2 linked regions of the Stegostoma tigrinum genome follow. The protein of the gene in region 1 interacts with the protein of each later gene in a biochemical or structural test. Links are inferred from orthologs where the notes say so. Each region holds a gene or a part of one and is shown in the gene's direction. Other genes may lie near its edges.

What was found.
Region 2: the proteins of upf2 (region 1) and upf3a form a complex in vitro, tested with the Homo sapiens proteins (2 studies listed by IntAct, with this or other methods). The link is inferred for Stegostoma tigrinum from reciprocal best matches to the Homo sapiens genes UPF2 and UPF3A.

Annotation. Positions count from the first base shown.
Region 1 is NC_081378.1:5,629,390-5,633,306, forward strand, and holds the start of upf2 (regulator of nonsense transcripts 2), read left to right. Parts: upstream 1-1,222; 5' UTR 1,223-1,358; intron 1,359-1,414; exon of another isoform or gene 1,415-1,532; intron 1,533-3,101; 5' UTR 3,102-3,191; intron 3,192-3,917. UniProt on the Homo sapiens protein: Involved in nonsense-mediated decay (NMD) of mRNAs containing premature stop codons by associating with the nuclear exon junction complex (EJC).
Region 2 is NC_081359.1:66,907,676-66,911,592, reverse strand, and holds the start of upf3a (regulator of nonsense transcripts 3A), read left to right. Parts: upstream 1-1,122; 5' UTR 1,123-1,244; coding exon 1,245-1,361; intron 1,362-1,498; exon of another isoform or gene 1,499-1,611; intron 1,612-3,917. UniProt on the Homo sapiens protein: Involved in nonsense-mediated decay (NMD) of mRNAs containing premature stop codons by associating with the nuclear exon junction complex (EJC) and serving as link between the EJC core and NMD machinery.

The DNA of each region.
Region 1 (3,917 bases):
CCTCCTACCACCTCCTGTATCTTCCTTATCACTTACAGCCCTCCCCCACCATCTCCCCCTCCCCTCCAACCTTCCTGCTTCCCCTTCATCTTCTCCATCTACCTTCTATCTCATCCTATCCTCTCCCTTCACCTGCCCCTCCCCTATCCACCCATCTGCCCTGCATTGTCTTATCTTCCTCCCATACTCATCCTCCCCTCAGTCCACGCATTCCAACCCCTCCCTTCCATCCCCCACACCATCTCCATCCTCCCTTCCACCCCCTATCCTATCCTGTTCCCCCCACCCCCCTATCCTATTCCCACGCCCCCGTCCCTATCTCCCCCTATCCTATTCCCACCCCCCGGTCAATATACCCCTATTCTATTCCCACCATCCTATTCCCACCATCTTATTCCCTTCCTGGTTCCTATTCCCACCATTGAATTACCCCTGGTCCCTATTCCCCCTGTCCTATTGTTCCCCCTATCTTATTGCCCTGGTCCCTAATGCCCCCTATCTTATTGCCCTGGTCCCTATTGCCCCCCTGGTGTCTATTGCCCCCTGTCCCTAATGCCCCCTATCTTATTGCCCTGGTCCCTATTGCCCCCCTGGTGTCTATTGCCCCCTGTCCCTAATGCCCCCTATCTTATTGCCCTGGTCCCTATTGCCCCCCTGGTGTCTAATGCCCCCTGTCCCTAATGCCCCCTATCTTATTGCCCTGGTCCCTATTGCCCCCCTGGTGTCTAATGCCCCCTGTCCCTAATGCCCCCTATCTTATTGCCCTGGTCCCTATTGCCCCCCTGGTGTCTAATGCCCCCTGTCCCTAATGCCCCCTATCTTATTGCCCTGGTCCCAATTGCCCCCCCTATTTTATTACCCCCAGTCCCTATTGCCCCCCCATCCTATTGCCCTGGTCCCTATTGCCCCCAGTCCCTAATGCCCCCTATCTTATTGCCCTGGTCCCTATTGCCCCCCTGGTGTCTAATGCCCCCTGTCCCTAATGCCCCCTATCTTATTGCCCTGGTCCCAATTGCCCCCCTATTTTATTACCCCCAGTCCCTATTGCCCCCCCATCCTATTGCCCTGGTCCCTATTGCCCCCAGTCCCTATTGCCCCCCTGGTGTCTATTACCCCCGCTCCCTATTGCCCTCCTCTGCGCCCCCCCCGCGTCTGGCAGATGCTGGGGGGGGGGGGCGGAGTCAGGGGGCTTCCCTGACGCCTCTAGCCCTATTGAGCGCCTGTCTCTCGTGGAGAGAGATAGAGAGAGAAATCAAACGGCGGCGGCTGTCTATCGCCAGTGAGCCTGACATCCTGCTGCCGCCCCCCCTCGATGCGATACGAGCAGCAGCCTATGTTTTTGTCGTGACCGTGCGCAGGTGCTGGTCAGGCGGCTGTCGGGTCAGGCCGTGCAGGCGGGGTCCTGATACTGGGGCGGTGGGGGGAGGGGAGGCGGAGGTTGGTGTCAGTTCCGCCGCTGTCGGCTCTCCGTGTGCCCGCTTCGAACTGCAGCCTGGCCCGTTCCCTATCACCCGGGACACCTCCGGGAGCCGGTAACTGCGCCTTTCCGCAGCGGGACACCCGGCTCTGTGCGATCTCTCTCTGTCTCTCTCTCTGTGACTTTCCGCTGCCAGTGGCTGTGGCCCCCGGGGCCTGTGCCATCCGTCACCCGGAGCCAGGGCTCTCACCAAATCACCGTCTCTCCCCCCCCCCCCCAACAACCCACCACCCAGCTCCAGGTGTGCGTGGGGTTCCTCTCCCCTCTCCACTTTTCCTTGCCCTCTTTTCCCCCTTGCCCTCTTTTCCCCCTTGCCCTCTTTTCCCCCTTGCCCTCTTTTCCCCCTTGCCCTCTTTGCCCCCTTGCCCTCTTTGCCCCCTTGCCCCCTTGCCCTCTTTGCCCCCTTGCCCCCTTGCCCTCTTTGCCCCCTTGCCCTCTTTGCCCCCTTGCCCTCTTTGCCCCCTTGCCCTCTTTGCCCCCTTGCCCTCTTTGCCCCCTTGCCCTCTTTGCCCCCTTGCCCTCTTTTCCCCCTTGCCCTCTTTGCCCTCTTTGCCCTTTGCCCCCTTTGCCCCCTTTGCCCTCTTTTGCCCCCTTTACCCTTTCTCCTCTCCCCTCCCTCACTTCCCAATCTCTATCCACTGGATTTGGGAAGACCTGCCCTCAATTTCTAAGTTTCCCACTGCATCCCATCACACTCAACCTGAATAGTTATTTTGATATTGACTCCTTCCTCTTCATTCTAGATTTTTCCAGGGTAATACCATTGCCCTTTGCTCATCTACAGTGTGTTTAATCAATGCTGTGGTTAATGGACTTTCAAAAGTATGGGGAAATGTCGTATTTTCTGATCACAATATCTGACCCCCTCACCTTCATTTTTATATCACCCACAATTTGAATGGCCTTATTCTGCTCCAAAGCTTATGGTCTCTAAACAGAAACTGACCCATTTTGAAGCCATTGGTATTGGGTTTTGGGTCCAGTGCAACTTGTTTATGTTATAGTATTTTGCAGTAAATATTTAGGTAATAAACACATCCTGTGTTTCCTGTTTATTATAGAATGGAGAGGTGTCAAATGAAACCAACTATTGAGTGTTGTTCACTAAAATCACATACAGAACTGCTAATGCTGGAGATAAGGTTTGGGAGCATCTGTGAAAAGAAAACAAGGTTAATCTTTCAAGGGTCGCAAGACTCAAAAGTTAACCCTGTTTTTCTCTTTGCGATGCTGGACCTCCTGAGTTATTCCAGCGATTTGTTTTCTTTGCCTTTGTATTCTTCACCATCGTTTTAATGTAATGTTATGACTGGTATGGGATTTTGAAGTAAAAACATAAGGGATGTTTAAATGAGCTGATTTTAACTTTTAAATTCTAATATAATGGGAAATTTTATTGAAAATGTAATGTTGATAGATATATATGGTGAGCTATATACATTGTTCCTTAAGCAAATTAGTATTACTATTTATTTTAGTCTACTTATAATATTTTGTATTCAAAAGATACTTGTGTTGAGGAAACCATGCATTAATTTTTCTATTAAAGTAGGATAACAATTTGATTTTGGAGCATGAATTTCTTTGAATTAAACAAAAGTGACATAATGTCTTGTCCTTGCAGAATTGTGGTGAGCTACACTGAGGCAGCCATTTTACCTACTCAGTTCCTTCTGAGACTAATCTTATGACTTGACGGATACGCTGGTATAAGGTAGGATTTGATACCACAGTAGTTGAGAGAACAGAAGTTGTTTTCAACTGGAATTGACACCTGCGGTAGTTGTGACCTTGTATTTCCTTGCACAACATCACTGGCTTGATAGTTGGTTAAAAAATGTGAAGAATCCCATTTGTTTTTAGAGTCTCAGAATTTATAAAGCTGGGACGGCTAATCATCAAGTTGTGCTGACTGTAGGAGCTTGCCAACTGTTCAGTTTCTTTGCGTACTTTAAATGCTTTCCCCATCTCTTTCAAATGTCAGCATGGGTTCGGGTTCTGCACTGTTTCTGGTCAAACATTCTATTCCCTTATAATTCTCTGTCTAAAGTAGTCCTCCTGACCACCTTTGTTTTATTTGTGAAGATCTTGAAATTGATGCTTTTATGTTGAAACTCACCAACCAATGGAAATTATTCCCAGTCCTCCACTCAAGACCTTGTTGACTTCTGTGTGTCCTATTCTTGGTTAATATTCTCTAGTTTTTTTTGTGAGACTTTTTAAAACCACAGTATATTTAGGTGTTGTTATTATAGGATGAAAAAATCCAAGAACTGGAATGGTTTCAAAATTTGGTTCTTTGCATCATCATCACAATGAAACAATTTTACTAAATTATAGCAACCAGAATCAGCAGACCTTGCTGCCTTTGATCTGTTTGTTCAGAGGCCAATTTTAATATACCTAGAAATGATTTTTGTCAAAGCTTGTGCTCGAAAAC
Region 2 (3,917 bases), on another chromosome or scaffold:
GAATGAACGTTGTGAGTGTTTCTCCATCACAACTATGGAATGATTTGAACAGAAAAACCAAAGAACTGCAGATGCTGGAAATAAAAAGCAAAAATAGAAATTGGTGGGAAGACTCAGGTTTTAAAGGGTTCTGAAGCATTGGGGACCTGACTAGGACCCATGGGCACAGCCTTAAAATTAGACGGGGTAAATTTAAAACTGAAATGAGACGACATTTCTTCAGCCAGAGAGTGGTGGCCTTGTGGAATTCATTGCCGCAGAGTGCAGTGGAGGCCAGGACGTTGGATGCCTTCAAGTCAGAGATCAACAAATTCTTGATCTCAAAAGGAATCAAGGCCTACAGGGAGAGTGCAGGGAAGTGGTGTTGAAATGCCCATCCGCCATGATTTAAATGGCGGAGTGGACTTGATGGGCCGAATGGCCTTACTTCCACTCCTATGTCTTATGGTCTTATGGAAATATTAACTCTGCTCTCTCCACAGATGCTGCCAGACCTGCTGAGTTTTTCTGTTTCTGTACAACTATTTCTAAAGCCCAGTCCGCATTCAGATTGTAGCAAGAAAGCTACTGTCTTAATTCAGCTTCATTTCCTAGTAACCCATCTTCACATCTAGGGTGGTGACATAAAATTGCCCTTTCACGTTGTTACAAAATTTCTTTAATGGTTTGCGTGGGGTAGTGAGAATTTATCAGATCTGTATTTAGATCCTTTGAGTCAAGGCATACTCTCTGTTTTTCAGATTATTTCATTGCCACCATCCTATTGTAGCTGTCACTGCCCTTTTCCAGATCTTCAACCTTTATCTATCAAGCCTGGAGGCAGCCAGGACTTTCCTCAATACATACTGAACTGGTTTTACAACGTCATCAATTTAATACGATATTATTCAGGAATTTATCCTATACTACTTAAGGATCGGTTCCATAGTCAATAGATAAATGTATTATCTCTGTGATCATCTTTAAACGTAGAGACTTTGAAGACAAAGTATCGCTCCAATATTGCAAGCCCTTAGATACACCAGCGAAATCCACGCAGATGCCGTCAAAAACAGTAACAAGTCACCTCAACACGCACCCCGCTGGGCGGTTGGAGAGGGCGGAGTCAGCCCATCCGGGAGCATCACGTGGGAGGAGGCCTGTGAGCGTGCGCGTCATCGCGAGATGTGTCAACACGAGTGCGAGCACAGCAAGAGGTTGACAGAGTGTGCGAGCGATAGGCGGTGGAGTGAAGAGTGTGCGGAATGAAAGAAGAGAAAGAGAACAAGGGGCGCGAGCGGCGCGTGGAGATCCAGTTCAGAGACAGAGAGGAAGGGGAGAAACGCAAAGAGAAAGATGAAAAAAAGGAGGTGCTCACTAAGGTGTGGGCTGCGCTGCTCGCTTTCTTCCTTCCCTCAAGCACGAAAGCCGTTTTCTTTTGGGGGGGGTGGGTGTGTGTTCTAGAGCGTTGCGGGGTCTCCATGGTGACGTGGGAGTTAAAATGATGAGGCGGACGGTGATTGACAGATCGCGAGCTGGCCTCGAGTGCAAGGGTGGCTCACGCGGCTGCAATTATGCCTCCGTTGGATTGCTCGTTGATTACCGATTGATCTTCAGCATCATACTGCTGCGGTAATGCACATCCACGCGCTTAAGATCGATGAGGCTAAAATTTTCCAACGAATCAAACGGCCATTGTCCTGTCCTCTTTCATATGTTGTCATAGTCAGACTTCACAACCATCATCATGCTGGATAACGTAACGAGAATTCTCGTCCCAAATTTTTGTGATCCCCAATCGTGTGATATGAGACTGGTTCTGGATATTTTAAAAAGTAATTGCTTTGAAGTGGTGCAATTCCCGTTTTGGGTTAAAATGGAAGAATAGCATTTTGCGCAATCTGCGTACCTGTAGTCCCACACTTCACGTTGCCAGTTATTGTGATTTCGTTCAGGTCGTCGTTATAGAGGGAAGGGAATTTAATTTCTTTATTGAAAATATTCCCTCTTTACATCAATGCTTTAAAACTGACACCAACAATACAAGCCATACATATTAAAATGTTTCTAAAAGTGTTTTTTTTCGCTAAAGAGATCAGTATTTTGCACACAGCGATAACAGGAAATTTATAATTGAAAAGCTTTGATTATCGTTGCGTGATTTATTTGTAAATTTACTGATTGGCCGATTACACGTGGATGCTGTCGTCGCAGATGGACATGAGAGCATTAAGATGTTTATGATAAAGGCGGTGTATTCGTTGTAAGGGTCACCGGACCCGAAATATTAACTCTGGTTTTTCTTCACAGATGCTGCCAGACCTGCTGAGCTTTTCCAGCAATTTCCGGGTTATTGTTTTCTGATTTTCTACGCAGATTGGACCAATCAAATTAGCAAAGGTGAGGTTGAAGATCAGTTCTAGAATCATAGAGATATACAGTATGGCAAGAGACTCTTGGGTCCAACTCGTCCATGCTAACCAGATATCCTATATCTGGGGTGGCTCAGTGGTTAGCACTGCAGCCTCACAGCCCCAGGGACTCAGGTTCGATTCCAGCCTCTGTCTGTGCGGAGTTTGCACATTCTCCCTGTGTCTGCGTGGGTTTCCTCTGGGTGTTCCAGTTTCCTCCCACAGGCCAAAGATGTGCAGGCTAGGTGGATTGGCCTTGCTAAATTGCCTGTAGTGTTCAGGGGTGTGTGAGTTATAGGGGGATGGGTCTGGGTGAGATGCCTCAAGGGGCAGTGAGGACTTGTTGGGCCAAAGGGCCTATTTCCATACTCTAGGGAATCTAATCTAGTCCCCATTTGCCAGCATTTGGCCCATATCCCTCTAAACCCTTCCTATTAATATGTCCATCCAGATGCCTATTAAATGTAATCATACCAGCCTCCATAATTTCCTCTGGCAGCTCATTCCATATGTGCATCACACTCTTCATGAAAAAGTTGCCCTTTAGCTCCCTTTTATTATTCTTCCCCTCTCACCTTAAAACTATGCCCACTAGTTTTAGACACCACCCAGGGAAAATACCTTGCCTATTTACCCTATCCATACCCCTCATGATTTTATACATCTCTATAAGGTGTCAACCTCCAAAGCTCCAGGGAAAATAGTCCCAACCTGTTCATCCTGTCCCCACAGCTCAATCTCCAACCGTGCCAATGCCCTTGTAAATCTTTTCTGAACCCTCTCTAGCTTCACAACATCCTTCCTATAGCAGGAAGACTGGAATTGCATTCAGTACTCCAGAAGTGGCTGAACTAATGTCATATACAGCTGCAACATGACCTCCCAACCCCTGTACTCAATGCACTGACTGATTTCATGGAATTGCTTTTGCAAAATTGGAACCAATTAGGGGAAATGCATTTTTAGATTTGGCATTGCATAATGAACAGGGCTAGTTGTGTGGGAGCAGGCCATTTGGCCAGTTGAACCTCCTCAGAACTTCCTGCTCAGACCCACCCTGTACCTGTAACCTTGCAATTCCCATGGTCAGTCCACACATCCCTAGGCACTATGGGCCAATTCAGCATTGCTGATCCACATAACCTACCTGCACATCCTTGAACTTGGGAGGAAACCCATGCAGACACAAGGACAACGTGCAGACTTTAGGCACAGTCACCGAGGAATTGAACCCAGCTCCTGACTCTGAGGCAGCAGTGTTAACCACTGAGCCACCATACTGCACAATGTGATGCCAAACTCTTCTTTGATCATTGCCTTTGCCTCCTTGCCTACTTCGCTGGACAGGACCCCTCCTCTTTGTTCCATGGACCCTTTCACCGATCTTCAGTACCCAGCCTTCTGTCATCTTCTCTGCATTTCATCTCTTTATTGAGAACTGTCGACATGACATCAGCTGCCTTAATTTCTCTGCTCCCCTCACTGATGAGAACATATAACAGCAGAGCACAGGAACAGGTCCTTTGG